4 linked regions of the Schizosaccharomyces pombe genome follow. Changing the gene in region 4 together with the main gene of any one other region gives a genetic interaction. Each region holds a gene or a part of one and is shown on either strand. Other genes may lie near its edges.

Region 1 (6,440 bases), on a different chromosome or scaffold from region 4:
TTGCTAGTTTTGTTTTCAAGTCACTTCCTATAAACCTATTGATTGTGCAAGAGTTGCTAGCAAATTGCTAGACGACCATTGATTTTCACCTTCTTTTGTTTTTTTAGGGCTTTTTCTTTTGTTATTACGAACAGTTTGGCCGTCCGGTTATTCTGAAATAATTTATTGTATTCATATATATATAATTATAGAGTTAGTAACGCTACCTTTTTTAAAAAAAAGACTACAAAGAGTTTCTTGGCCTTTACGAAAAAGGTGCTTAGTTTCCTTGTTAAATTGGAGCTTAAATTTTGTATAAATCGGCTTCCAATTTCATGTTCTGTGCTTGCGTTTTTTCTTTGCGCGCTTTTCTCAAGCAGCGTAGCGTTTTCAAATCGGGCTTTCTTTACTTTTGATTTGTTTAGTTCCTATTATCTTGTTATTCTTTTTTTTTCTATCTATTGTTTCCCTTGCAGTTATGAACCCGTATGTTTCTTATCCCGAAATTCATATGAAACGGAATAGAACGGGTAGTATTAATTCAAATCCGCTATATATTCCCAACCCAAACGTCGAGCCTACGCCCAAGCCCACAAAAAGAAGAACGAAAACTGGATGTTTAACATGTCGCCGTCGCAGGATCAAGTGCGACGAAACCAAACCTTTTTGTTTGAACTGCACAAAGACAAATAGGGAATGTGAAGGTTATCCAAATTCAGCTGCTCAAATGCAAGCCATGGGGAGTGTATCGCCTCCTGAGCTAAGCGTTCATTCTGCTCAACAGCCATTGATACCTACTTCAATTGCTTCAAGTAGCGCTCAAACCGGAGACACTTTTTCCGGCTCTTCACAATCCAATTTTAATACAAATGATCTTAATCAGATGACCTCCTCCTCCAATTTATCCACCGTTACCCCAATCAAACAGGATCATCAAAAACCTATGAATTTACAAGGATTTCCAAGTGCTTATCAACAGCATCAATACCTTCAATCCAATCATAACGTTCCTACAAATAATTCTTCTAGCGCTACTTCGTCTACAAAACCCTCTGTACAATCGGTGGGTCAGGCCTCTTACCCTTTTCTTTCATCAGTTTCCAATTTCCCTTCAAACTTTAATTCCGAACTGTTTCCGTTTTATTTTCACGATGTCGTACCTTCTATTTGTGCATTTGAATTTGATAATAACATAGCCTTGCATTTTTGGTCAGTCACTGTTCCCCAGTTTGCTCAATCGATGCCTTGTATTGCTAATTCTTTAATGGCTTTTGCGTCTATTAAGAAGCTCGACGTTTTTGGTGCTTACAGTCATTTGACCAGAGCTCTTCGCTGTCCAATGCCTGGTCCCAATTCTTTTGAATACCTGTTGGTTTCTGCATTTTTGACTCTCACTCAGCTCAATCTCCCAGCCTATGATCTCAATTTTTGTAATAATTTTATTAGAAAGTTAAGTTGGTCTTCGTCTACCAAATCAAATTATGTCAGCTTATTGATTGCTATGGTCGTTCGTGAACTAGTTTTTGCAATTCTTCCTCGTGGGTGTATCTGGGGGTTTAATGGAAAGCCTTTATCGGAAGTTTCTGTTTCTCGAAGTCATGCACCTGTTTCGGATTCTTTGTTTACTATTGGATTGGACATTCTCTCTCAACCAACCTTGTCTGATGATTTGCATCGAGAACGAATGGTTGCTTGGCGAGATGAATATCATGTGCACTTGTATTCAGCATCAAGAAGTCCTCTTACTAAAGTTATAGATTGTGTAGGACATGCCGTTACCAAAAACAATAATGACGTTCTTTCTGGCTTACAGCAATTAATGCAAGAAGAATGCACAGATATTGCAGTATTACGCACTTCCTATTTATGCGTATTATCTCTACAAAATGTTTTTGCATCAAACTCTAAAGAATTTAAACTTCGGGCACAAATCGAATCTCATTTCGGAAGATTGATGCTAGAACATTTTATGGATTGCAATGTCTTAAATCGACCAGTACTTTAATTTTAAAATCATTTTGATGCTTTTCAATAAATATTGATATAGAACTGTATAATAGCTAGACAAAATCACGCATCAAACATATAATCTCTCGTTAATAAGATAAACACTTCATTTGTAAGATTCGCATAGTGTAAAAAGAGCCGAAATTTACGAATTACGGTACGACAGTCATACAAATGGTTTAGTCTTTGTTCTAAACATACTATATATTACCTTAGGAAGAAGACTATTGAGCGGTGGCTGTATGGAGATGTGGTTCAGAAGGGTACACAGGTGCGGGACTTCCCATTCTAGTTGCGAGGGAAGACTGTTCTTTTAAGCTGCTCAATTGCTTAAAGCGGAATTTCTCGTAATGATAGTATGAGGTCGTTTCAATTAAATCTTGAAGATGAGTTCGCATCAAAAAGTTACGAAGAAAAACAAACTCGCAGTGGTTTTCATCATCCACATTGACAACCCCCCATCTGTTTTGACGACCACGAATAGGCCTTCCATCTACGATAATGGCTTTTTCGGAACCGACCACGGCAAAAGGAATAAGATTTCGGACGGCAGCATTTAGATTAATTTCCTCCTCATCGGCGTCATCAGAATCATAAGGATACAAATTGATGTCGTGTTTAACAAATTCTTCACGGATTTGCTGCTTAAATGCTGCTCTTTCTTCAAGAGTCAATGAATCAGACTTAGCGATAACAGGCACAACATTTACGACTTCTGTTAAGCGTTTGAGGACAGCAATATCAATAGGGCGCAAAGAATGTCCAGTTGGGCGAATAAAGAATAAACAACAATGTACTCTTGTGTCTTGTAGACGTTTCTCGCGATGTGAATTTAATTCACGACGAAGATAGGAAGAGTGTTGGTCCCTAATGTACTTAATTATAGGCTCCCAGCTATTATAGTTAGAAATTGCTGTGCAGGAATAGAAATTTCCATTTCCACTGATCAAACTTACCATTTATCGTTATTAATTTGATCTCCATATCCAGGAGTGTCGATTAAATTTAATTGTAATTGAACACGGTTCTCGCGAACGACTATGTGGTTAGCAATGTAACCATAATAAATATAAGGATTGCTGACTCATTGAAGCCAGCTCAATGAGTTCAATCAAAGATGAAAACCTAACTATAAAAAAATCAACATACCTTGGCTTGTAACATGGATTTCAGTTGTCTGGCGATAAGGAGCTTGGTAATCCAGACGACCCTTACTGTCCATCAAGTGCGCAGAGAATAAAGTATTAATCAAAGTGCTTTTTCCGCTACCTGACGGTCCTATTTGAAACTGTTAACATCATTATAATTGAAAATCTGTAATAAAAATAATACGTACCAACCACCATTACATTAAATTGAAAACCACGACGAATTAACTTGCGGTTAATTTGCGAAGTGATAGAATCGAACCCTATAAACATTAGTTTTGACTCTTTATCAACATTCTTTTGTTTTCATACCCACATAATTATTTAGGGTAACTGCAGAAGGAACTTCCATTGCAAGTTGCGAATTGAATGAATTTGGAATTTGTTGGTTTTGGCCAAGTCAACATTGTAACGTGAAGCAAGTCAAAACAAACAAAAAGGTCTCGGCAATATTTACGATTTTTTTTTTAAATAATCTAACAGAGAGAAAACAAAATTTAACAATATATTTTATTAATAGAAAAGTGTTTCGATGTTGTATAAGGGCCCGAAAATATATTAAATTAGCAATGTAACCTAAAACTCGAATACGATAAACAAGTAGATTACCAGCAACTGAATGCACTATTGAAGATTAAACTGTTTCTTATAATTACAATCATGGTATATTTTTGCACATTGTATTTCAACAAACCAATATGCTGTATCAAGAAAACCAAAACAACTTTTATAATTAAGTAGATCCTTTTATTTTAATGCTACGAGGTATAACTAGTGAGAGTGAAGAAGAATGCTCCATTTTTTATAAACAAATACATGCAACCGCTTCACAGAGATCAAAGTCCTTAAAAATTTTCAACCAGATTCACAAATAATTAGCGCTAAATTTAAGCGATTATTACCAATCAGTAGCTTAAGAAGCATAAGCGTTTCGTACACCGGCAAGCTTAGACAAGAAAGCAGAACTTTGTTCATCTATTTGAGTAGACTTCATAATTTGAGAGCTAATCAATAGAGAGTCAAGAAGTCGAGGCTCCGCAGGGAGCTTGAAGATTCGCTTCCAATCGTCTAAAGGTAAAGGTTGTAAATTTTCGGCAGCACGATTTGCATTTTCGGCCTTACGCTTAGCAATCCACTGTTGAATTTTAGCTTGCTCTCTTGCGAGTTGACGTTGATGAAATCCAAGATTTCCTTGCTCATAATGAAACTCATCAGTAGACTCCAATAATAACTCAATATTCTTTCTATATCTGGTACCCAAACTAACCTCAAAGTTACTGAACGTTTCAGTCAAGGGTAAGTTGCTTTCACAATCTTCAAGAGCAGCTTCGGCGGTTAGGGTAGAAGCTGGAGTAGGAGGCTCACTAAGAGAGTGGAGCAAACAGGTAGCCAAATGAGAGTTGTGAATAACAATAGGAAGTTCACGGATAACATTGGAAGGAGTCAAGTTGTGGCTATTGAGGGAGGAGGCGGTCCAAGTTTTTTCCTCATGGGCAGCCATAAACTCTGGAGTTAACTGATAAGCACGCATGTACAAAGTTCCATTAGAAGATTGAGACAAATCATAAAGAAAAGCGATACTGTTGGGGTTTGCCTTTTGATAAGCATATTGCGTTTCTACAAAAAAGGGGCTACTTAAGAATGAACTAACATAGGCTCCCAAATACCAACCAACGTGACCAGTAACAGCACCAATGTACTGAAGACGATTAAGCATCGCCTCAGTATGAGCTTGGCGTGCTTTACCGGAAACAGACTTGTTAACAGCAGACTCTTCATTTTCAAGAACAGACGGAGACTCGAAGCTGCTACTGACTTGTAAAACACCATCAATGTCAATACCAACAAGCTGACCTGAACGAAAGTTAGTTAAAAATATTATTTCAAGAGAGAAACTGTGGTTGATAAGAAATTTCACTAAGTAGAGCATTACTGAGCTGACAAATGCATAGCTGCATCTTTGATGCAGAAAAATTGCAAGTTTTATCATTTCGAAAAATAGGGAAAACTTATTCTCCAATGACTACACTTACCAATTGTTCCCATATTAGGAAAAGAATCACGGCAGTGCTTGATGATATTCATTACAAGTAAAGATTCTAATTCCACCCGCTCAATAGGGGGAGACTCCAATTCTGGACTACTGAATTAGTTATTTATATATCTTAGTCATTCTTACACATTCAATGAAGTTGTATCAGACATGTTTTTTAAGTCTGCCAAGTAGTTGGTTGAAGTGCAAATTGCTGTACGAACTTCTAAAGGAGTTAGTGTTCACCAGTTTAATGACAAGTAACAACAAGTAGCAACTTTTTAAAGCCATGGCTGTCGGCGATTACAAGTTATAGAATAGAGGAGCCTACCAGTTTTATTAAACCTTTTCTAACTAGTTAAAAAATTTGTAAATTTTTTTTTTGTTTTCTCGGCCTTAAGCTCTATTTTCATGACTTCTTTTACTAATTTACCGAAATATGATTTTCATGCTTATTGTAATTTAAGAGCAGCTTCACCGCCTTGCAAAGTCTTTTTAATATAGTGTAATTGACACTGCATTATACTTGAAAGTTCAACATTATTCGTTGATTGGAAATGAATGTGACTGCTTTTCCGTTATATTTACTATATATACGGGTCATTATCCTCAACAAAACACTATCGACGATACTCCATAGGATCATTTCTATAGTATACGTCCGGCTTGGGTTTCCTAACCTAGCCACAGAACTCAACACGGATGATGATAGGAGGCACCGTTGCCCTCAGAGTGAGGACTTTTAATTCTTTGAAGGCATGCTTTTCGATTAGGTTTTTTACCTAATTGTTTTGCTGTCTTTCTATGCGATGATCTCTTACATGATATGTTTCCTTTTGGTCGTATTATGTAGGGCAGCTGGTGTTTTCTGACGTGTTTAATTTCATCTATTATATTACAACTGTGGTGTCGTTTGATGACATAGATGTAATTTCTAGATGAAGTTGTGTCATGTTTTAGCGTAGATTTTAGTGAATAAATGAAACGATTTCAAATTCCGTTAGATTGTTTGATTTATGTTTCTTATTAAAGGAGTCAATTGTATGGTATTTGGAGTTAGATGGATAGCTTACTTGGCGGCGTTTTTTATTTAATATTGTCTGCTGTACATTCGTTAGTAGTAAAGTATTACACGAACGTTTCCACTCAATTGGAAAGTCAAGTCCATGCTTTGTGGGAGCAACATTGATCATGTATGTTTATGTATTGCTAGTTTGTTTATAGAATAACGCAGATTACGGAATCACGCTATTTAACGTCAAAACGTCAAGAAA
Region 2 (8,999 bases), on a different chromosome or scaffold from region 4:
AGGTTATGGTTTCGTAGCGTTTCGTCAAATAGAGGCTGCCGTTAGAGCCAAAGACACATTGAATGGAATGATGGTTGGGAAAAAAAGGATTTTCGTTTGCTTCGCGGAGCGAAAGTCTGACAGAATTCGTAGATTGCAAGCATTTTTTGCAAACAAACCTACTTCAGAACAAACAGCGCAGCAAGACAACAAAGCTTTGTTCGTCAAACCAGAAAGAAGCTCTACTGTTACCATCCGAAAGCCAATAGAGTCTTCTACAAACAAAATCTCTGAGAATCCCACGACCCTTTCAAGTAAGGTTGAAAATAAGAATGAGCCTAAGACTGGTGAAAACAAAGAACCCAGTCAGACAAATGAATATGTTAACTGTAAGCAAGAAAATAAGGAACTTAGTGGACAGTTATCAGGCAACTTGGATATAAAGAAAGAAGCAGGAAAATTGAGCCATGACGGAGAACAAGGAAACTTGTTAAAACCATTGGTATTCCATGCTAACACAAAACTAAATAACCGAGGGTCTGCTAAGATGGGTTCAACAGCCACCAACTTGAAGAAGATACAAGACATGCTTCACAACAAAAAGCTGAGTAATGCATACTTTGTGCCAAGAGCAAGAGCAACAACCTGTACAACTCTTACGTACGTAACAGTTGAGCCCTCACATTTCCAAGATGAGGACTGTAATGAGTCAACGAACATGCTTTCACTTGTCGGGTACATGGACAGCTATCCAGAAGCTACATCCAATATCCAAAAAATGAATTCCTATCATATTAAAGATTCAAATAAGGAAAATTTTTTATCAACAACAAAGGTTAACAACAATTCACCAACAACTATTCAGTTGACGCAGATTTAACAAGATGCGGTGAAGATATAACTATGAAACAAAATTCATAATGCTATATCCCTCAAAACTCCGATGAACAAACTTTTAACTCCTTAAAATATATACATCGTGAACGGATGGATTTGCTAGTATAACCCTACAGTATCTTACAACTACCACAACGTGGAATTTAAACGAAACCGTTTATTTTTAGTCTTTAATCAAAAACATTATAAGGAAATTTGATTTGAAAGATAATTCTTTATTAATTCGAAAGTTGACAGCTGGATCAGATTTGTTTAGAGATTTATGATTTTAGCAGGTTCATTGACTGACATCCAGTAGCTTGGTGACAGTTTGACGAACCAGATTAAAAACCATGAGTTCATTAATAGCGTTAGGTAAACGGCAAACATTATTGTCACATAATGAATTTTTAAATTTTAAAAATCAAAAGGGTTTCTGCAAAAGGTTTATTTCTCAACTAAACAAGAAATCCAATTTTCCCGCTCTTGCGATGACAGTTCCTGAAGCCACAAAATATCTCAAATCTGTGAGCATTTCTGTTCCATATGTTGGGTCTTATATGCTTTCAATTGCTTTAAAAAGTAATCGACGCGCTCCGTCAGCTCGTGGTCAAATTGCCTTTCCTCATCCATTTCAAGAGCCTCCTAAAATTTGTGTGTTTGCTAAAGGTGCAGCTGCAGATGAAGCTTTAAAATTGGGTGCAACCTATGTTGGTGCAGAAGACTTAGTAAAAAAAATTCAAACAGAGCCCCTTGAATTTTCAAAGTGCTTTGCTCATCCCAACTCGGCAGAATTACTACCACAAGTTGCTAAATTATTAGGATCAAAACGTCTTATGCCTTCAATAAAACGAGGTACTATATCAGATGAATTGAAGCCACTCATTGAATCTGCCCTCACAGCTGTTGACTATCGGCAAAATGATGCAGGCTCGATAAATTTGCCGGTTGGAAAACTAGGGTTCAGCGACAAGGAGCTACAAGAAAACATCGAAGCACTTGTATCAAATGTTCGGTTTACTTTGGCCAAACTGCCTGGAAAAGTTAAAGTTACCGTAAAGCATGTTCATCTTTCCGCCTCACATGCTATTGCAATTCCTCTCCAGTATAAATAATGATTAAAATGTTATTGCATGGGAAATTTAGTCTACAGTCTTGTCATTTGTAATATGTATTACATGATTAATTTTGTACAAATTAGTGAAATGTGTAATGATATTTTATCTAGTAAATTTAGAAGCCTGTTTATATTTATTTATTATCATAAACTACTTTTTAAAAAGTATGAATGAAACGTTAGAATACAACATTATGAAAGTTACTCTGTGCGATGCCATTTCAGAACAGGCGATTCCGGAGAATCAAATCTGTTATCACAAGCTGAGGTATCTACGTTTTCAGCCGTAACCCACTGGTGATTTGGATCAAAAAATAAGGACATAGGGTTTCCCATACTCGCGTTTTCAACATCATTATCTGAGGAAAAAGTGTCCGGATGTAGAGATTGGCAAGTACAAAGAGCCTGGTAACATGAATCAACATCAGTAACATATAATGTTAGTTCTAAAAAATCATCTGTGAATTCATTTTCATCTTCGGTAGAAGGAGCTTCATGCAATGTTCCTGACGACCGTTCAAATTTAAGAATGTGATCTAGCAAGGGTCGAATGGCTTCACCCTCTAATTGAACATATACATATGGCTTATCCTTGCTTTGTTTCGCATGAAGAGTAATGGTTTCATATGGAATTTTCCAGCCAGAATTCTGTTCTTCATCAAAAAGGATAAAGCTCTGTGAAGTTACTAATAAAGTTATCAATTTGCCCAAAGGAAAACTTTCCTCATCACTTCTAATTTTATAGGGGACTGTTTTTTCTTCAAAATAAACGATTTCTTGATTTGGCAACAACTTTTCACCATTTTCAACTTTGCGAATTAGGTCCTTTGGAAGTGAGTCAATTTTGGTAATCATAATTACTTCTTGCTTCCAATAGGTATTTAAGCATAAAAATTATTAAAAAACAGTAATAAGGCCACCTCTACCTGATAATTTATTGAAAGAAAAGGTTTACTGTGCGTTGTATTCTTTTGAAGTACTCAAATACAATATCTTCGCATATTAAGCATTTCGCAAAATCGAAAATATATTTCTACTCTTAACCACACGAATTTTTTATAAATTGAACCATTATGCCAAACAGGATATCGATTTTACTCAAATACTTTTGATATGCAATTTTCGTAAATGACAAGCTAGTTATTCATTGCAATTACAAAACAAACTCATGAATATAAATAGTTTTGTGGAAAAAATAAAGGAAAGGTCTAAGGTCTTTATGAAGTAATCCTCGTTACCCAAAAAATTGGGACTCAAAACTTTTGAAATTGGATTTTTTATTTTATATAGTAAACAGATTTATAAGTGTAGCGAAATAAAGCTAAGAATTTTTTAGCAACCAATTCATTGCTATATAAGGTTATACATTGATTTGGATACATGTAATGAATTAGCATCAGTGGATCGTTTCTCTCATAAAGGTGGGTCTTTCTAAAGTATACGAGATTGACTTTCAAACACCAACTTTCCAAATCAAACTTCGAAAGACTTTTTTAAAGCTAGTGACAAGGTTGGAGCAGAAGATTCTCCAAGCCAGTTTTTAGTTAATTAATAGAATGAAAACAAATCGAAAAGTTCAAAAATCAAAATTAGCAAGGCAAGATTCTGGTCATCAGTATATAATTAAATGATGGCAGTATGTGGATGCAAATCCTCCAAGATAATTTTTTAGTGAACAATTTAATCAATAAATTTTCAAAGTAAGATACCATAACATGCATGCAGGGTTTTCTTCAAATATTTTTTAGGACAAAAGTATACTTTAATTTACGCATTGAATTTAAGAATCACTTGTTGCGTAAACTGGAATCGTGGTTGACACTACTTGGCAGCTGTAAATACAGCAAATCGAGTTTGTCAAGTATAGATTTTGTGGCATTCTCCATTGAGTTAGAACTGTTTTCAGGAGATGCAACTTTCATGATATTTCCATGTTGTTTGTACACTTTAGAGGTTGTAAATAAAGAGGGAGTAGCCATTAAACCTTTTTCATCAAATGACAAAGTATAAAGCCAAACAAGACTTTGAAACCAATTATTCATAGGGACACTCCAAATAAAGTAGCGAAAATTGGGAACTCGAGGATGTACATCATTTAGCACAGAGTTAGCTAATAGTTTAACAGCTTCGTCAGTAGTTGATAATTCTTCATTCATTTTCTTGTATACAGGTAGAGAAAACTGAGATATAATGGCTAGAATAGAATCCAATTCAAGTCTTGAATGCCAAGAATTAAACCACGAGTTGGAAGGTGCAAACAAATTTGAGTCAATTTCTAAATCTTTTCCAAACGGATTGGATGCACATTTTTTAATAAGTTCTGAACTAGAAACATTTTCCGGTATTTTCCCACGCAACTTTCTAGACAGAACCAATGGAGAATCTGAGAATACATCTTGAAGGACTGTCGGGACAGAAATCGAAACATTTCTACTCGAAATATGTGATAAGCCACCGCGTGAACTACTGCTACTAAAAGGGGAGGAAAATTTATCTAATTCATCGAAAGGTGAATCATCTTCAACGGTAGCAACTTTTTTAAAGTCAGTATTTTGGAGTGGTGTTCCATCTAAGGAGGTGTTATCGGATGATTTAGATTCAAAATCACTACTTCCTTCCGAATTGAGGGCCACTAAAGGCTGTGATTTAGTCTGAGCAACGGCAGGAAGTTTCATAGAATTAAGATTCAAAAAAACTTGCTGGAGGCGAATAATAGAATAACTGAGATTAGGGTTTTGAGAAAACTTGTTTTCAACTATACTAGAAATAGCCTGTAACAGGTATTCAAGAAGCAGATGATTGCGCGGATTACGAAAAAGAAACCGAGGAGATGAAAGAGATGAACAGAGTTGCATTAATTTGGCACACGTAACGAAACTTAGGTTTTCAACAAATGGTGCAATATTGCATATGGTCAACAATATAACAGGAGATAAACTGCTAAACGGAGATCTCTTCACTGCTGAAATATGAAAGCTAGACTGGAAGGCGTAAGTAATAAAATTAAAATAAACAATTAATCGTGAATCTTACGATAATCAAAAACTCTGCATAAGACATTGGTGGGACTGAGAACCCAAGGGAAGACATCAATGATTGTGCATTCATACAGTTTCTATTTAGTTTTTCACAAAGAACCTTCTCGCATGATAAATAATGAACGATAAAAAGGCAAATGCGAACAAGGCCGGAATGTTCATTGTCTTCACGATATCTAAGTGCATAAAACTGAATAGAAGTTAAAAACTCCGTAGCATAAGGAGAAGTGATCAAAAATGCTCGGAAACGCTGTTTTAAATTAGTTAGCAAATATAATGAACGCGTAACAACATAAATTAAACAACTGTACAAATAATGTAATATATATAAAAGGACCGTTGAACATACTTTATTATATAAAATTGCTTGCCAAAGAAACAAAATAATTTCCGGAAACGCGATATTAGGCTTTTGTACAATTGAAATATAGGCAGAGATAGCGGAAACTGGTGCATTCAATAGCCGATATAGTTCGTTAACTAAAAATTCATAATCAGCTTGTAATTGAAGTCGAGAAAAATATAATCTATACTGATTTTCGATAGCAGCGCCAGGAGAAAGATTGAGTCTCTGTCTGAAGTATTCGACTGTTGTTTCATGAGGGGTGTGATCTAAAAAAAGCAAAAGGATTTGAGAAGTAAGTTTTGAGAGTGCAATGCTAGAATCATTATAAGGTACTAGAGTTGAATACGAAGCCTTCCAGCTATCAGGTCTAAGTCGCAAAGTCTAAAAACTAAGTTAGTTGTACAACAAAAAAAGGTAAATTTTAAGCCAAAACTTACAGTATTTATAAGGGAATAAAGAAAAACTAGTATAAGCTGCTTATTTGCTACACAGGTCAAATAAGTAAGGGTGTGAGAAGCTACTTCAGAAGATCGATACAGCCTTTTAGAAATCAATACTAACAGCAAACGAAGAACCTCAATGCGATTAAACGCAAGTTCCTTTGTGGTTTTCTCTTGGGTTTCTGTTGTACCAATTCCATTTTCCCTGCAAAAGTGATTAGTTAACACATTGCATTTAACCAAATATAAAAAAGCAAACGAAAAACAAAAAAAAAATATATATATATATACATATATACTTACCATATAATGTATGCATATTGCTCAGGACTTGAAAGAGGAAGCGTAAAGCCTCTGCAAAAAAGCAAACGAAAGACGGTGTCCAGCAATTCCTCCATTAAAGTTTTTTCATGAGTAAAAGTTTCTTCAATAGAGCCAATTTCTTTGATTGTGCTAGAACCACCTACTGATACGTCAGCGGCAGAGACGTCTGAAGAAGCATCAAGGGAGATGGAAGAAGCAGGAAAGGTGCTCACAGGAGATAATGGGACTGAAGGAGACTTCTGCGAGAATTCGTTCTTTTGGGAGATGGAATTTTCAAAATCTAGATCGTCTTGAAAATTACTAAGGTCTAATTCGGAATTTTCCTTTGGTAAATTTCTCTTCTTTCTAAGGCTCCACCAAAACTTTTGATGCCATTCTTCTAAATCGAGTTTCTCATTCAAAAAAGGAATGATTCTAGTAAGTAGGCGAATGCAGTTTAACGCTTCACTCGCTGGTGCCGTTTCAGGATTTGGAAACTTTTTGTCATTTTTCAACGCAAACAAACGAGATGTCAATACAAGCAGCAATTTTTCAAGGTTTACAAAGGCATGATCCCTCATCTCACGAATGAGACCTGGGGGAAAAAAATCGTAAACTTCTGGACAACTTTCAGGTACACTCCAAAGCTAATAAACATAAAAACGAATACATTAGTAAAAGCGTCTTACACAAGTTAATAAAAAAAATTTCATACAGAAACCCAAACTTCATCATCCAACGGTATATCCTACTAGAATTAGCTTGCAATGTTCTCTTAGCGTATCATCCACCCATAAACACAAACCGTACCGGTTGAGAAGCTAATCTTGCAATTCCTCGCTGAAATGCCAATCTAAACAGTTAGCTCATACGAAAATTTCGCAATGTTACTTACTTTGACTCTTGGCCTCCCATATTCTCTAATTAGATGCGAAAACCGTAAAGTGCTCTTGACAAACGCTGCAGCTTCATCGATAATCGTTAGGTACTAGTAGACCCGTCCATGTGTATACTTTATTCGCGCGCTAAGTTTCCAAAAGATGCATTATTTCATATTGCGAAATTTTATTATTGCTCGAGTTAATTTGTTAGCTCTACCGTACATTTAATGATCGTTAGCATTACGACGAATTTTCACATTTACAGTCAATGCACTATGACTCACTATTTGGTAAACACTTTTTAGCAAACTGCAATTTGTTAGGAGGCAGGGTAAGGAAAACAATTGATTACCATCACGAAATGAGAATTAAGGAAGAAATACAGCTTGTCAAAGAGACTTCAGCTACCTGCTGAACTGCATTTAAATGTTTGTGAGTTTTTGGTTTCTACTCGTTATCTCATAATTACCGTGCCATCAGATAAACCTCAAAGGTTTCTCAGTTATAAAAAAAACAAGGAAACTGTATAGCTGTAAACAATTCATCTACTGTATAACTCACGCGGCAAAACCACATGAGACATCTGTCGAAGCAAACAATGATATATTTACATGTTCAGTAGATGAATCGCTAGACTATGCCGTGATATGTTAGAGTTCCTTATATTATATACAATGAAGTACATTATAAATGGCTGTATTCAAATTTTAGCTATTTCTGTAAAATAAACAAAGCAGCTATCTATTTTGAAGTGAGATTTTTTTCCAATTTATAATAATTTCAATTATAAAAGGTGCTCTTTTTCTACTCTCAATGTACTTGAAATGTCATATATGTATTTGATATCGTCAAAATTGTCAATAGCAAGATAACTAAATAAATGAGATGATAAAGATCTTATTAATTAACTTGGTAGATGATTTTTCCTACTTTTTCCTTTAATCCTATAGCTGATTAACAGGTAATTATTAACAAAAAAATGACTTTTCTTCCATTCTTCTGATTGTTTCAACTCCACTCTGTTATTATGTATCTATTCTCTTTTCTTATCGGTATACCGATTTACGTTAGAAAATGGTAAACAGTATAACGAGAAACCCTCGGTTTCGGTTCATATCTGTATAAAATTAGCAGATTAGCGAAAAATGCTGGAAAGAAAATTAATCAAGGTCAGACATGAACTTGAATTCCTTATCTATAATCTAATTTGTACTTAAATAGAATCCTTTTTTTTCGGTCAACTTCGTACTGCGTTCGAATTTTTCTGGTTTGGATTTTTAGTGTTTTGCAAACATACCTTTACCATACACTAATACCCTAAAAATCACTTCGACACCAACTTACCACGAACCAAGTTCGACAATTTTCACCACCGGTTTTGGGAAAATGTCAGTTAGTGTTGCATTAAAAGCAAAGCCCATTGCTTATGGTGCAGTTGCATGTGCAAATTATGTGAATCTGTCTGGTGCAGGAAGCATTTCCGTCAAGTATGAGGACGTTGCTTTATTAGACAAACAAAACAAGGAATCGAACGTCTCCATTCAGCTTAACGGCTCTGATTCTCCTGTATTCGGTTCCAAGTTGGCTTTACAGACTTTCTCTCAAGTCTATCCTAAACTTTTCATTGGCGAAAACGATCGTTCTTTGGTTGAGAGTTGGGTGGAAACTGCCTCTGCCTTAGCTGGTAACCACAACTTTCTTGAGCTTTCTTCACTTCTTGCTCAGTTAGACGACCATTTAATTATGCGCTCTCTTTTTGTGGGTTATTCCCTCACCTCTGCTGATTTTTCTATTTGGGGTGCCTTAAAATCAAACAACATGGCAGCTGGTGCCGTACGCACTGGCCAGTATTTCAACCTTGCTCGTTGGTACAAGTTTATGGATTCTCAAAATGCCGTGAGTGTCACCATGGAAGAATTCACCAAGGCAGTTAATATTAGCAAAAAACAAAAATCTTCTGGTCCTAACTACGAGATCGGTCTTCCTGATGCCATTGATGGTAAGGTGGTCACCAGATTT
Region 3 (7,598 bases), on a different chromosome or scaffold from region 4:
AAGTGGATTCTAGTCATTATCCAATTTTTCATCAAATGGAAGGTGCATTGGTGTGGAACAGAAATGATACTGCAAAAATGAAAAATGATCTAAAAAAAGTAGCTCTTTCTCCATCTCTTAAGTCAATGGTGGATGATGAAACTACTGCATTAGAAACTCATAATGACATGCAAGATATTTATTCACTTGAAGAGACAAAATTTGTTTCCCAACATTTAAAGGATACTCTGACCACCGTGATTCATGACCTGGTATCACTTGCTCCTTCTATTTCTTCCGGAGCTGAACAGGTTCGGTATCGTTGGACGTACGACAGTTTCCCCTTTACCAAGCCCTCGTTTCAGTTAGAAATTGACTGGAAAGGAAAATGGCTTGAAATATTAGGATGTGGGGTCGTCCAGGATAGGCTGCTTAAAGGTGCAGGATTAAATAACTACATTGGTTGGGCTTTTGGAATTGGTCTTGAACGTCTCGCAATGATTTTGTACGGTATTCCTGATATTCGGCTTTTTTGGTCACTGGATGAACGATTCTCGAAGCAATTCTTGCCTAACAAGATTAGCACTTTTAAGCCTTTTAGTAAATACCCAGCATGTTTCAAAGACATTGCATTTTGGATCAATAATGATTTTAATCCAAATGATTTTTATGAGATCATACGGGATGTCTGTCAAGATATGGTAGAATCTGTTAACTTGATTGATCAGTATACTGCCAAATCTGGAAAAACGAGCTTGTGCTACCGAGTCAATTACAGAAGTATGGAAAGATCCCTTAGAAACGAAGAAATTGACAAGCTACAGGAAAAGCTTAGGAACCGAGTAGCTAATTCTTTGAGAGTCGAGCTCAGATGAATGTGCGTACATACTAATTTTAAAATATGTAAAAAGCTTAATAACATGCACACATGCGTAAAATAATTCCATGTTATTCCCTCTCAAAATTGAAATGTTATCTCGTATGTTTTTGACTAAACGAAAGAAATAACAATTTTGGTTTTTAAAAAGTTATTTTATTGAATCTATTTGAAAAAAGGAAACAACGCATATAAAAAGGAACGTGAAGATGAATATTAAATACCTCGAATACAAAATTTATTTTATAGAACGAGATGCAAATGATATGATGAATAAGATATAAAAGCTAGAGCAATTTTGATTACAAACTTAAGCATTTAAAAAAGCTTCAAAAGGTTAGGTAATTGAGGAATTGCACCTTTTTCAATCAAGTAGTACATGATCTCTGTAACATTTTTTGAAATTGCTATATCCACAAGTCTCGTTAGGTAAGAGTCAATAAAAGATTTAGAAAATCTTTTTTCAATTATATTGTTCCAAAACCCAAAAACTATATCCAAAAGTTCCACCGAATTTTGCTCCATTGTGTACTCGAACCAGGTGAGGAAACAAAACTCAACTTCATCATCAGGTATAGAAATAAGTCGTTCAGTAACAATTTTACCTACTTGACGAATAACTGGTATGTTCCGTTGTTTTAATGCTAGCAGAAAACCATTTCTAAGAGAAGAAGCTTTAAACAAAAAGTTGCGATGTTCCAGCTCTGCAATGAAATCTTCTGCATTGGGTAAGAAAAGAATACGTTTTGGTATAAAACCTTCGTGTCCTGCATGTATAACTCGACCATCTTTTATATCTTCATTAGGGCTTTTTTTAACAAACCCCGAAATGACTAATTCGTCAATTTTTGTAAGGATTTGAAGTGTAAAATACCTGCGTAGCAATCCACGTTGAATAGAGAGAATGATGCTTTTGGGTACCATTGAAAGAGTAAAATCAATAGGCATGAAGATAGGCGTATTATTCCTTAAAGATAATCGGTGTCTCAAACTACGAGAAGTCACTGCCAAATTCGAATTATTGGATAACAAAAATATTAATCTTAAAACTTCTAAAGGTAAAGACTCAAAAACCGTTAACGCTCTAGCTTTTCCATCAGTCAAATTATTTTTGACCTTTCTTTTCGTAATTTTTTCATTATAGTCATTTTTTATGGTCTGTTTTCGCTTTTTACCCATCTTTAACAAGATTTTTGGAGCTCACCAACAGACACTATTTAGTGCTGAAAAATTTAAACATGTATAGAAAATAAATGACTACAAAAGATAATTTAACTTAAAATATTTACAACATTTTCATAATAACCCAAATAGTTGGTTTTTTAAAAGAAAAGAATAAATCTGATACTTATTTGCTCAAAGGTTCAAAGAAGAAACTCAAGGTTTTGAAAAAGCAATGTATGTGCTACTAAAAAATGAAAATCAAAACCTAGAATTGTACTAACAACACCAAAAACAAGCTGAAATCTAATGTTTAAAAAAAAAAAATTAATTATATGTAAAAGAGCTAAATAAGTATAGCTAAAACCTAAATGAACTATGGAAAAATAAATGTTGATAATAATACATGAAGGAAACCAGAAATCAAAATTCAGTACTGTTTTTTGAATTAAAAATTATATGTAACAAAGTCGGCTTGAGAGAGAAGTTTCAACGTACGAAAGAAAAATTAATTTCAAATAAAGTCACCATCTTCGTCCGAATCGAGATCGCGTCCTTGTGTAGTCATGGCATGCTTAAATTTTAGCATTTTTAACTTTGCCCTTTTGATCTTGCTACTCGTTGAAGCAAGTGTTACTGTATTTACAAATGGCAAATCCGTAATGTTTGACGAAAAAGGCTCAATAGGTAACGAACAAGACTCTTGAAAAGTTGGTAAAATAGGAGATTTCTTTCCCGCTTTAGAAAAAATATCCGGAATTTTGGTAAGTATTTTCGGAGGCTTTTGGTTTTTGCTGGGTGAGAGATTTACAGCTCGAACAGTAGGCGAGGATGAAATGGTATCCGAAGGAGAAGAGTCCGTTTCAATAGCATTAGGAACATTTCCTTTTTTCTTTTGGACTTGGTCCGAAGAAGAAACAGTAAACGAAGGGACATTAAAAGGGCTAGAAAATACCGACACATTTCTGGATTTCGAGTTTTTAGGCAACGACGAATGTTCCCCTGAAGATATTATAGAAGTAGCTCCAAAACCGTCTTTTCTTTTCGAACCATTTGCATATTTAGGATATATCAACAAGCCTGTTCTCAGCGATACACCTGAATGTTTGGCCAAGGAAGGATGTTTGGCATGTTCAAGCACAGTAGAAGGTGAAACGTTAGGATTGACTGCATTGTTGGATTGTAGAAAGATTGAAGAAGAAGCACTAGATCCATTAAGTTCGTTTGAGCGAAGGGACGTGCCTAAGTGAGAGTGACTCCTACCAAACGAGGACGAAGATGCTGGTTTAACTAAAGGAGATGAAAAAGACGGTACACGAAACTTCACGGGTTGAAAGGCTTTTTTGTTGGGCAAAGCCAAAGGTGTTAAAAGAGATGACGAATCTAGCGAAGGAATGTGTTCATCCTCTTCTGATGCTGCATCTAGAAAATCAGGAGAGTTTGGTATTTCATTATCAGTTGTTTCTGTTACATTTTGAAGCGATGCCAGCTCGGCAGCAGTTTTGACACTTCTTTCGTACAAGTTTTTTGAGGGGTCGGTAACTGTGATATTAATAAAGTTTTGTCGTTTCCCCGTGGGTTTCCGAAGCAGAGGTAACGGAAGGCGAGTCAAACGGAGACGTTTAGAAGTAGGACTGGGTTCTGCAACAGAAGAATCTTGTCTTTGATGATCATCATTTAGCCCATCGTTTTTGTTGGAAGGTATGGTATTACAAGCGCGGGAAGAATGAGGAGATCGAGCATGATTATTAGAAACTTCTTCATTTCCATTTTCTAATGCCTTCACGGAGACACTTACGTTATCATTACTTAGGTTTTGTAACAAATGACCAGCATTTGAATTATTTAGAGTGGTAAAATCATCTGCCTCGAGATCGGCAGAAGGGGAAGAAAAAAAGTCAGAAGCTATGTCGTCTTCTCCAAATTCTTCTACAGGATCTTCAACCAAGGTGCCATTAAAAGACTTGGGTTTTGACAAAACAGGGATATATGCAATTTTCGAAGGTTTCGGTAGCGCAGTTACGGATGAGTTAGATGGGGGATAGGGAGAGGTATTGTTAGCTCGATTAGATTCCTCAACAGAAGAAGCTAGATATGAGTTTGGTCTAAACTTAGCTTTGGGTTGTATTTCCGGTGTTACTGACAGTTGATGCTTACTTGAACATCTCAAACTACCAATATCTGAGTCATCTACTCCATAAGATTGCAAATTTGCGTTCCGGAAGATCGTGGATTTTGTTGAATTTGTATGATGAGCGTGTGTTTTTAACATATTTGACGATAAAGCACCATTTGAATTGTTAGATACATCTGAGTTAGCGGAGTGAAATGGAGGCTGGAATGGTTTTAATAAATAAGCTGGCCTCTTCCCTGTCTCACTCAATTTTGATTTCCTCGGTATAGGTGGAATATTCGCTTCAGTAGTTGTTTGTAAATTCTCAACGTAAACAATAGTTCTATTAAATTCAATTTCAGAATCCAGAACAATTCTCTTGTTGTTAAGGAAAAAATCATCTACGACTCGGTTATCAGAATCGTAGAGAATTCCACGATTATTGAAGCTGTGGAAGCGCATTGTCCCATCTTTCCAAACTTTTACTTTTTTTGCTTTATCAGACGTCCACAATACTTGATAATGAAAAACATTGGAACTTGTATCCATAGAATATAAGTTTTAAAGCCTGTAAAGGCAGTTCCGAAAGGTGGCTTACGAAAAGCTTAATATTGTTGAAAAAAACTCACAAACCACCCTATTTAATAATTAATTAAAGAATAAGAGTGAGAATATCTATTTCATGTATAAACCTCATTTGAGCATTAATTGCTCTCGCTTTAGGAATGGGAATTACGTGCTTTTGTTGGATGGTAGTTAGGAAATGGTTGGTATACAGCAGAAAGTTGAAATCTAGGAAAGTAAATGATCTCAAGCCAGAAAATTACATCTTTGTAGAATCCTTAAACAAGGTTTCCTTTTCTTTTCTTTTTCTTTATGAACTACAAACGAGTTGAGCTTTTGGTTATTGATATGAGGTACTTGTTTACACGCCGAAATGATTGAAGGTAACTTTATAATACGCAAGCAGAAGCAGATTATCTCTTGAGATGGTTTCAAGAGAGATGCTTATTTTTATTAATTTTACTAATCTACAAGGTCTAATATTTGATGGGTTTTTCTTTAGTAAAAGGTCTCTTAGTGCCCAAGGAAGCAAAACTGTTAGATAATTTTCAATATCCTGTATCGAGAAACGGAAACAATGGTTAATAATCCCGATTGATAGTTTCATAGGGACAGACTGTGTGTATACATAATGATATATAAAAAAAGATGTCTTTTTTCACCTTAAACCATGAAGTTTACAGTTGAGCTTACAGAGGCAGATTGCTTCAAATATTCGTAATGTAAAATTATTTATCTTGTAAATTTGTATCTATCGTCGCATTATAATAGAGAATCTAAACATAGCAGTTGGAGATAAAACTGATTCTTTTGTTCTTCTATCGCTTTTGAGGTTTGCAGGCAAGAAAATTCATCAAAGATGATTGATGATACGATTAGGTGCAAAAGTACTTATGTTATAATTTTAGCAACATAAAAGGCCTATAGAGGGTAATTCTGCTCGAAATCTTGAACTTGCAATTCTCATCACCATGTCGAAGATAGGTACAAATTAAGTTATTAAAGTTGGTTTAAGCGCACTGATAGAAATTTACCTAAAATTTAGTACTTGGACGAAATTTAGGAGAAAAAAGCCCAAGAAGATGAAGAAAGTTGTTTCATTGTAATAATAAACCTGAAATCTTTTGTCAATTCTAATTAATACCCTTTCAAAAAAGAAGACTGATCTTTGCAATCACTAAAACTATTAAATTTATTGAGCAGCTGAAGAATCATCTGTCTATAATTTGCAACAAGAAGTAACTGAAGGGGAGTTAAAAAATGAGTATCAACCATTATGGCATCTGTCGCTTTGCTTCTTCTTCTTTAAGCTAAGTAATTTCGATTATATGCTCCAAGAACTAAGTATATTAATTAAATCATGAAATATTTTCAAGGATAAAATTAAAACAATTTTGTACTATTAAAAAAATGTAATTACTGTTGTGCGTATTCCAGATATCAGCTTGCTCTATAATCATCAAAAAACCTGTAATTATAAGCGAGTAACACTAATAAAACCAGACAGACTTTAAATCAAAAAATTTCATTTATTAGCTCGTATATCTGAAAAAGATAGGCAAATTTTTTTATTAAAGGAAGTCCCAGAAATGACTTCACTTGAGAAGATATATCGCTAAAACTAGAATTTGTATTGCAATATCAAATAAAAATTACAATTATTCTGATTTTATAAATCAATTTTTAAGCTATGTAGTAATGTACAATTAATACACATGTAGTTAGAAGAGTCGCCAAAATTTGCATAAGAAGTATTAAGGTTCTTTTTACTAATATCAGAGAGGGTCTTTAAAATTATTTAAATTTTCTTTTTCTTACTTAGGGAAACTGGCATTTTTGCTATATGATGCGAACCCTTTATTTACACTTGACTCTACTATGACAACTACCTCCTGCTCTTACTTACTGCCATAACCGTGAATAGACATTTGAATAGAAACTTCGATCTTCACTCATAGTTGGAACTTTTATAGTACGAAAAAAACATTATAAGTTAAATTACTTGTTTGGGAATAAACCTCAAGTTAAGCATTCAGTTCATTATGGAACGATATGTAACCATCGCATCTTGGTATGCTATAATCATTTTTCGTCTCAATGATCTAACTTCTGTAGTCAGCTGAACCAGTGGGCAATGGACTTTGAGGGAAACCGTCTACGCATCATTGATTCCATCAAAGAGGCGAAAAGACAAAACGCAAGCCTTCGTGTTGGTCCAGAATTAGAAGTCACGTATGTAATAGAAATGGATTTAAATGTTGCAAGTGTATCAGTGAATAAGCTAAAGTTTAAACTTCATGAAGGATAGCCATGGTCAAGTTTACTGAGTGCGACTTCGGTTGAGTTTATTCATCTTCTTGCAATATTGAAACTTGTATTTTACCTTGATATTAATTTTATGCACTGTAACTTTCTATTAACAAACGCATTAGAGGCTATGGCTGTGAAGATCATTTTCTAGAAAGTGACACTTACTACCATAGTTGGGAAATGTTATGTTCGATTATTCACGATCCTGATTGCCAAGACATTCTCCTTGACATCGGTATGCCTGTAATGCACAAAGCCATGCGTCACAACTGCCGTATTCTAGCTCTAAATGGAAAAATCTTGTTAATCCGTCCCAAGATTTGGCTTTGTGACGATGGAAATTTTCGTGAGTCTCGTTGGTTTACTCCCTGGTTAAGGCCAAGAGTTGTGGAAACTCATTACTTGCCTACTTTTGTTGCAAAGTCTTTAAACCAAACAACCGTTCCTATTGGAGATGCCATTCTTCAATGCAATGAAACCGTTGTTGGTGTGGAAACCTGCGAAGAGCTGTTTACTCCAAATAGTCCTCACATTGATATGGCTTTGGACGGTGTAGAGATATTTATCAATGCGTCAGGATCCCACCACGAACTT
Region 4 (6,507 bases):
GATACTGCAATCTAACGTGTCACTAAAAAAAACCGGCAATGACAGTAGCCGAGTTTAGGCTTTGCAAACGCTCGTTTACGTTAACTAAGTTTAGGAAATATTAAACGATTCCCCAATTTTTAAAGAAATGTAAATTTCTTTTTCAGTTGAATAAGTAGCTGTATCTATTCAGAGGCGATGTTCTTATAAGTATAGATGGAAAAGTCTTCCATAAAGAAGGTCATGGCAGAAAAACTTGAAAGTGTTCGAAGGAGCGATTTGTGGTACTGTTGCTTGTTGCTACGGTGTTTTGTATTTACAGATGAATGAAAGTATATATCAATATAGATTCATAAATGTGAAATCGTTTTTTTGAAAAATTCTGACAAATTTTTTTTTATAGTATATATTCAATCTTATTCATTTCTAGTGTATGTAATCCACTTTAAATATCATCAATGATTTTGAGTGTTATTATTCATCGGCGTCAAATTATGTTCGCATCATTAATTTTTCCTGTATACATAAATTTCATCATACGTTCAAATTAATCGTTTAAAAAGACTCATTATCCAATAGCTTTATTATCGTTTCGCTTTACAAAACACGCAAAGCCGTTTTCGCCGTAGATGTAGCACTTGCAGGATTGGAACCAGTAACTAATCTTCCATCTGCTATTACAAAATCACCGAATGGGTTTGGTGACTTGATAAAGTTGGCTCCTGCATCATTCAACATATCGTCCAAAACCTCCAAGTTGTATTTTTTCAGCGCTTCCATAAGTTTGGATTTATCCTCGGCCACCCTATCGAAGGCGGTAACATCTTTACCACAGACAATTGAAACAGAGCCGTCGGACGTTTGACGCTTCATGAATGGAAGTAATGTAGGACCATGGCACACGGCAGCTACTACTCCCCCATTTTCATAAATGGAAGTACCAAGTTTTTGCAAATTTGTAGCTTTTGGAAAATCAAATAGAGTGGCATGTCCTCCTGCTACGAAGAAAATGTCATACTTGTCAGGATTCACTTCGTCGGCGGTTTTGGAATTTTGCACAATCCTCCAAAACATATCATCCTTATTTTCCAAAACATATTTTTCAGCTTTGGATAGCTCAGGGCCACTTGCGATGTGATCATCATAGCTCAAAAACTCTTCACCCTTAGATCCCTTGTCAATTGCCGGACCTGCTACTGAATGATCATCGAATTGGATTTTCCCTGATTCAGTAACAATGTCAACATTGAAACAAGCATCTCTAAATACCAAATAAGGATGTAACAATTCTAAAAAAAATGCTCCAGTATTCTCACCATCTTTATAAAATGGTCCATAATAATCAGAGCAAGCAATTAAGACATTTCTAGTTTTAGCAGGCATTTTTGAGTTAAAAATAGTTTGTATAGTGCTTTACAATGTATAACTCCTTGAAGACAGAAAGAGTTCGATGAAATTGTTTGGATTTTCGGTGAAGACCATCCTTTTATGTCTTTTTTTTGGACTCTAAATATTAGTATTTCTTCGATAAATTTTCGTTTATCGGTTTTTTACGTAAACATTAAGTAAAGTGCAACGTCCACTGATTAATTATTTCCATGTCAGTTACAGAAATTTTCTCCTTAGACGGCATAGCTCTTTTCATTGCCTATTGGTATTCTAGATGCAGCAAGTTCATATAGCTAACGACTTATTTTTTGCTAATTCACCCCTAAACTTGTAATGTGGCTACGAAATGCATTTTGCATCTGGTTTGTTCGAAATTCCGTATGACAGCAGGAGCAATGCGTAGCCAAGTATTAGTGATGAAAAAGGCCAGGGTCTCGTACACTGAGCAAATAAATTCCTCGTACAATAGCAGGTTTGCGTATTCACATGTTTACATTCTAAAAGTCGAATAATAGACGAACAAAATATGTCTGAAGCACTGTTATAATCACACAACGAAAGAAAAAGAGATGTCGGGTAATTTCTGGTTCACCGGCTGAATCAATAATTCGTTAACTTTCTTTAACAAATGTGTATTCGACATGAATTTTTCTAAAAATCAAAAAAATGAACTAACTACCACTTCCTGCTAAATTTTTAATAAAAGGATGGTGAGTTGTAACGAAAACCACAATATACTATAAACCACTGCTGTATATGTTTTGTTGGCACTAAAGCAAACGATGGTTTCTTTTTGCCTTGGTAGATCAGGAGTTGTAATCTAGAAAATTACGAATAAAAATATTCGTTGAAAAAAAATTCCTAGGATGTTATGACTTTATTCTTCGATAGAGTCGCAAATGTCTATACTACAATGAATGCGACCTGCAGTAGAAAGGGAATAACGAATTGGGGAGCAGCTAGCTATTTAGGAGAAATGATTATGAGAAGTAAGCTTATATTGAGTACAATTTGTTTATTAAGAGCTTAAATGATTAAAATGACAATTTCCCATTCATACAGTTCTGTAGTCATGATACTGTGCACACATGAACAGTTTTCTTTACTTAGTAGTGGAGTATTGATAAAGCAATGCCAACTGAATACCCAATTTCCATGAATAAAGTTTTCCTTAAAAACAAAAAATTCAGATCAATTAATCATTTTCATTCCTTTCTTTCCATTGAAAATCTCCAAACTCATATATACGTATAGTAATTAGAAATGATAATTTATCTCTTCATATAATTAATAAATTTACCCTATATATAATGTAACTTTTTTCTGTGTACCACAAGCTTCTGTAGCTCAGTCGGTGGTAGCATCCCTCTCATATAATGACAGGGGAAGGTCGTGAGTTCGAGCCTCACCAGGAGCATTCTTTTTTGCCCTTTACTTTTAAGAAAGTGAGGATTGCTGCGCTAATGTTGTTCAGTATAAGTTGCATTATAACGTGCTATTTACTTGATCTATCCCCATACTGTGGGAATTGTTCGTACTCGTTTCAAAGTTATTACCAAATAAAGTATTACTTTACCATCCTCCTAATCAAATTATTGTTTATCATTTAACCACTTTGCATTTTTTGTTGCTTCTAGTTCAATCACTTGTTGTTGCACTCTCTTATAGAAATTTGACGCAGCGTCGCAGAACTTATCATTTATTCAGTTACAAAAAAGTGCAAGCGTCCAATTTCTCATTTTTTGGTCTGCAGTTTGTTTCTTTAATGCTATCAACTCTTAGCCTTGTTCAATTGTTAAGAGTGCTCTTGAATTGAAAATTTCTATTAACTTATCCATTGGATTCAGTGAAACGACGGCACTAAGTCTTGGACTCAATTGTAATTAAAACTACCATTTTCGCTTGTTAGGATTACTTTTCCTTGCAAATTTTTTCTTCTACGTTTTCACTATACTTCGCTTTTGTTCGTCATGTCGCTTTTGTCTGGCGACCAACGAATTATTTGCTTGGAAATTCCTTTGCAAGGCAAAGAAAACGTACATATTAATTTTGCAAAAGAAGTGGAAAAACTTTATGGACCCTCTGTTCAGGAGAATTCAAAAAAAAATGATCTTTCAGACTCAGCGGATTCTGAGGGCGAAAGTACACATGTTGATGAGCAACAAGCAGCTAATGGGGCGGCCGATGGTACACAGACCATAAAGAAAAAGAAAAGGAAAAGGAGGTACGCTGACGAATACTACGATAGAACAGATCCCTTTATTGATGATGCTGAGCTCTACATTGAAGAGAAGGCTGCCGCTACCAAAGATGGATTTTTTGTATTTAGCGGTCCACTCGTGGCCGAAGGAGATACTGTGAAAATCGAAAGATCAAAGAAGACTAAGAAAAAGAAGAAAACATCTTTATCCAATGCTACACACCCTGCGCCAGCTGTCTCTGCGGTGGTGGCTTCAGCGGATGCTAGCTTTGACGATAGTAGGGATATTGAATCTGAGGACGAGCAGCCATTAAGGACTTTGTCCATTGAAATGGCTGCTAAGAATGCTTTAAAAGAGGCAAAACGGGAAAATGCAAAGGTTCCCAAGGATGTCTCTAAGAAGGAAGCAAAAACAACGAAAAGCAAAGAGAAAGCCACAAAAAAGACATCCTCTTCAGTGCCCAAACAAAGTACGGGAGAAAATACCAAAAAGGCTGTTAAACTTGAGACACCTCTTACATCTACACCCCCTATACCACCTCTCTCTGAACCAAAGCATTCTCCCGCTACTGTTAATGAGCACATTTCTCCTCCAAGTGCTTTAACTAATCCTTCTACGGAGGAACTCAAACCTTCGACCTCCCTACCTATTGATCAGGGCAATGCTTCTGTCGTTTCGAAACCTACTCAACAAGTAAGCATCGTTCTTTCTCAGAATGCATCCTTACCCGTTGATGAACATCAAGCTGAACCAGAGAAATCAATTCCAACTAGTAGCATCCCATAATTATACATATGTAGTGACCTGAAGATCTGTCAATCGATTTCTGTATATTATTTTTATATCATATTTTTTTCGTTAATAAAAAGCAATTATCATCACACCGCATTGATTATCTATTTCTTTTTTAAGGCAGAATTTTGTTTCAGTGTTACTGTTTGTATGAGTAAATTTATGTATTCATTCATAATCAAATGACAAAAAAAGCTATTTAAACCCAAACCTCCTTGTTAACCATTAAATCCCAACAGACCAGTATAATTTTTGAACAAATTTAAAGTTAAGCGTCTATTTTTTCTTGGATGGCTTCTTCTTTTTTGGTGCCTTCCCCTTCTTAGACTTTTTACTTTCTCTACGTTTTTTCAAATTTTCTTCTCTACGTTGCTGCCGCATTAACATTGCTTTTTTTTCGTTGTCCTTCCTTTCCTTCCAAGCGTCTGAAGACTTTTTCTTTTCCTTTTCTTTGCGACGAATGCTCTTTTTAAGCAATTGCTCGTTATCTTTGAGTTTTTTCCCTTCTGCCTGAAGCAAAACTCTATGCCATTTATCACTTTCTTCAATTTTTCTCCTTTTCTCTTCGTCCATGCTTTCAATACGGCGTTTCTTGGCTTCCAAATGCTTTAGAGCGCCAAAGACATCAGTAGGACCTCGCTTTTTTCCGGCAACTTTTAGTTTACCATTCGAGAATTTGTCATCTCCGACTATTAAAGTACCATAAGTAATAGTGCTCTTGTGGTTGTCATTTTCCTCGTCAGCAATGTTATCAGAAGAGTTCCCAGTGTCATAAGCTGCCACTTTTGATTCCTGTTTAGCCTTTGACTCCTTTTTAGCTAACTTCTTCGCTTCAGCACGAGCTTTTGCCTTTTCTTTTCTGCGCTGTAAAAGTAGAGCACGGTCTACTTTTTCAGTAGCTTTTCTTTGAGAGCGAAATGTCTGAATCTTTTCAGCAAGCTTTGCTCGTAAGTCATTTTTTCCTTCAGTTGTTTCCATTACAGACCGATGATAAAGGAGGAATCACAAATAATGGAGAAAGAGGATGAAAATACACAATCAGAATTGGGTTAATAAACAAAATCCGATACAACCCGATAAAAATAGAAAAGGGATGTTAAAATTTCTTAAACGAAAAAAACTTTTGAATTGATGATTGATAATAAATAAAATGAAGCCTAATTACCCACGAACAAAAAAAGAGAAACCCGATAATATGGAGTTTGCGAATCCAAAAACAATTGCTTTGAAAGAAAACTTAATAAAAGGGAAAAAAAGCTAAAGTAATACAAAGATTCAATGGCTATTCAAGATTGAAAGAACGCCTTTTTGTAATAAAGACATGTACTTGTAGTGTGGAAAAGACTGAAAGAAAACCTCTATTTCGAAATTTAACGTAATACGTTATTGTATTTACCAAAAGTTTACGCGCCGTTATTATTGTTTAATGAAAAGGTGCATACCGTTAAGCGAGATAATGGGTAGGGTAATTTGTATTTAGTCCGCGCAGAAAGCCACAATATTGGAAAGAGTAAATAGTCTATTTCCGCGTTTATGAGTTTCTCTATTTTGTAAAAAAAAACATTTATGAAAATAATTTTCTATGTTTTTCGTTATGACTTTGATTCCACAGTCATACTGGAAAGGCTAAAGACGATGTAAACAAATACCTGAACCAAATGTATTTGGAAGGGATGCGATGATACGCAAGCATTGAGTGTTTTAAGAATATCCCTTATCCAAGAGGAACAAGATTGTTTTCAGTTGTTGGATTTTATCAAGAAGCAGCCTCGCATAATATAAAGACGGATGTTGGGTTCTGAAGAAAACGGCAATTCCGTTTTTAAAATCCCCATAAGCATGTAGGGCAGCATATAGGCCGAAATTAAACAAAAAAGAGGAACTTATGATGATAGAGGTCTTCTTATTTTGGTGAAAATGTACAATTTCGTTTTTCCTACGGAATGGAATTGAATTGCATTGTCGCAGTCGCTGTCTTGAACCTCATCCCTAGATACTTGCGAATTGAAATATTTATAAGAATGCGAAAATGATTTGAGCGTGTTTTTGTTCCATAATAAAATAGGAGTATTTTCAAATGACTCTTATGAAGGTTCGTAGGAAAAAAACCGTTAAAAAAAATAAACATAGTAAAAATACCAACTAT

The links.
Region 1: mutations in hip4 (region 4) and spn2 together harm fitness more than expected from each alone (negative genetic interaction), as found in Schizosaccharomyces pombe (2 studies listed by BioGRID).
Region 2: mutations in hip4 (region 4) and ftp105 together harm fitness more than expected from each alone (negative genetic interaction), as found in Schizosaccharomyces pombe (2 studies listed by BioGRID).
Region 3: of hip4 (region 4) and dbl2, changing one suppresses a phenotype caused by changing the other (phenotypic suppression), as found in Schizosaccharomyces pombe (2 studies listed by BioGRID, with this or other methods).

The regions. Positions count from the first base shown.
Region 1 is NC_003424.3:987,296-993,735, reverse strand, and holds spn2 (mitotic and meiotic (sporulation) septin Spn2), read right to left. Parts: upstream 3,532-6,440; 5' UTR 3,487-3,531; coding exon 3,447-3,486; exon of another isoform or gene 3,398-3,446; coding exon 3,323-3,397; exon of another isoform or gene 3,265-3,322; coding exon 3,136-3,264; exon of another isoform or gene 3,025-3,135; coding exon 2,943-3,024; exon of another isoform or gene 2,881-2,942; coding exon 2,211-2,880; 3' UTR 1,985-2,210; downstream 1-1,984. Other genes in the region: DNA-binding transcription factor Moc3, read left to right, coding at 458-1,984; tif308 (translation initiation factor eIF3h (p40)), read right to left, coding at 4,048-4,988, 5,168-5,274, 5,314-5,339. UniProt on the Schizosaccharomyces pombe protein: Plays a role in the cell cycle. Involved in a late stage of septum formation leading to the separation of the daughter cells. Involved in the correct orientation of forespore membrane extension during sporulation. Binds phosphatidylinositol 4-phosphate.
Region 2 is NC_003424.3:1,784,453-1,793,451, reverse strand, and holds ftp105 (Ubp5 interacting protein Ftp10), read right to left. Parts: upstream 7,083-8,999; 5' UTR 7,015-7,082; coding exon 6,995-7,014; exon of another isoform or gene 6,953-6,994; coding exon 6,910-6,952; exon of another isoform or gene 6,848-6,909; coding exon 6,815-6,847; exon of another isoform or gene 6,747-6,814; coding exon 6,100-6,746; intron 6,002-6,099; coding exon 5,794-6,001; intron 5,738-5,793; coding exon 5,360-5,737; intron 5,261-5,359; coding exon 5,006-5,260; exon of another isoform or gene 4,954-5,005; coding exon 3,760-4,953; 3' UTR 3,097-3,759; downstream 1-3,096. Other genes in the region: poly(A)-binding protein Crp79, read left to right, coding at 1-859; mrpl1 (mitochondrial 54S ribosomal protein uL1m), read left to right, coding at 1,209-1,970; protein saf5, read right to left, coding at 2,174-2,827; gus1 (glutamate-tRNA ligase), read left to right, coding at 8,367-8,999. UniProt on the Schizosaccharomyces pombe protein: Required for the localization of ubp5 to the Golgi apparatus. Involved in detoxification of cadmium ion.
Region 3 is NC_003421.2:307,620-315,217, reverse strand, and holds dbl2 (DNA recombination protein Dbl2), read right to left. Parts: upstream 4,905-7,598; 5' UTR 4,680-4,904; coding exon 2,532-4,679; 3' UTR 2,323-2,531; downstream 1-2,322. Other genes in the region: msf1 (phenylalanyl-tRNA synthetase), read left to right, coding at 1-854; SPOM_SPCC736.02 (uncharacterized protein), read right to left, coding at 1,175-2,035; qns1 (glutamine-dependent NAD(+) synthetase), read left to right, coding at 6,737-6,765, 6,810-6,926, 7,127-7,598.
Region 4 is NC_003423.3:655,747-662,253, forward strand, and holds hip4 (histone H3.3-H4 chaperone, HIR complex subunit Hip4), read left to right. Parts: upstream 1-2,878; 5' UTR 2,879-3,338; coding exon 3,339-4,355; 3' UTR 4,356-4,485; downstream 4,486-6,507. Other genes in the region: hsp3103 (ThiJ domain protein, glyoxylase III), read right to left, coding at 577-1,362; rrp1402 (ribosome biogenesis protein Rrp14-C), read right to left, coding at 4,638-5,339. UniProt on the Schizosaccharomyces pombe protein: Component of the HIR complex, which functions as a histone chaperone that cooperates with cia1/asf1 to promote replication-independent chromatin assembly.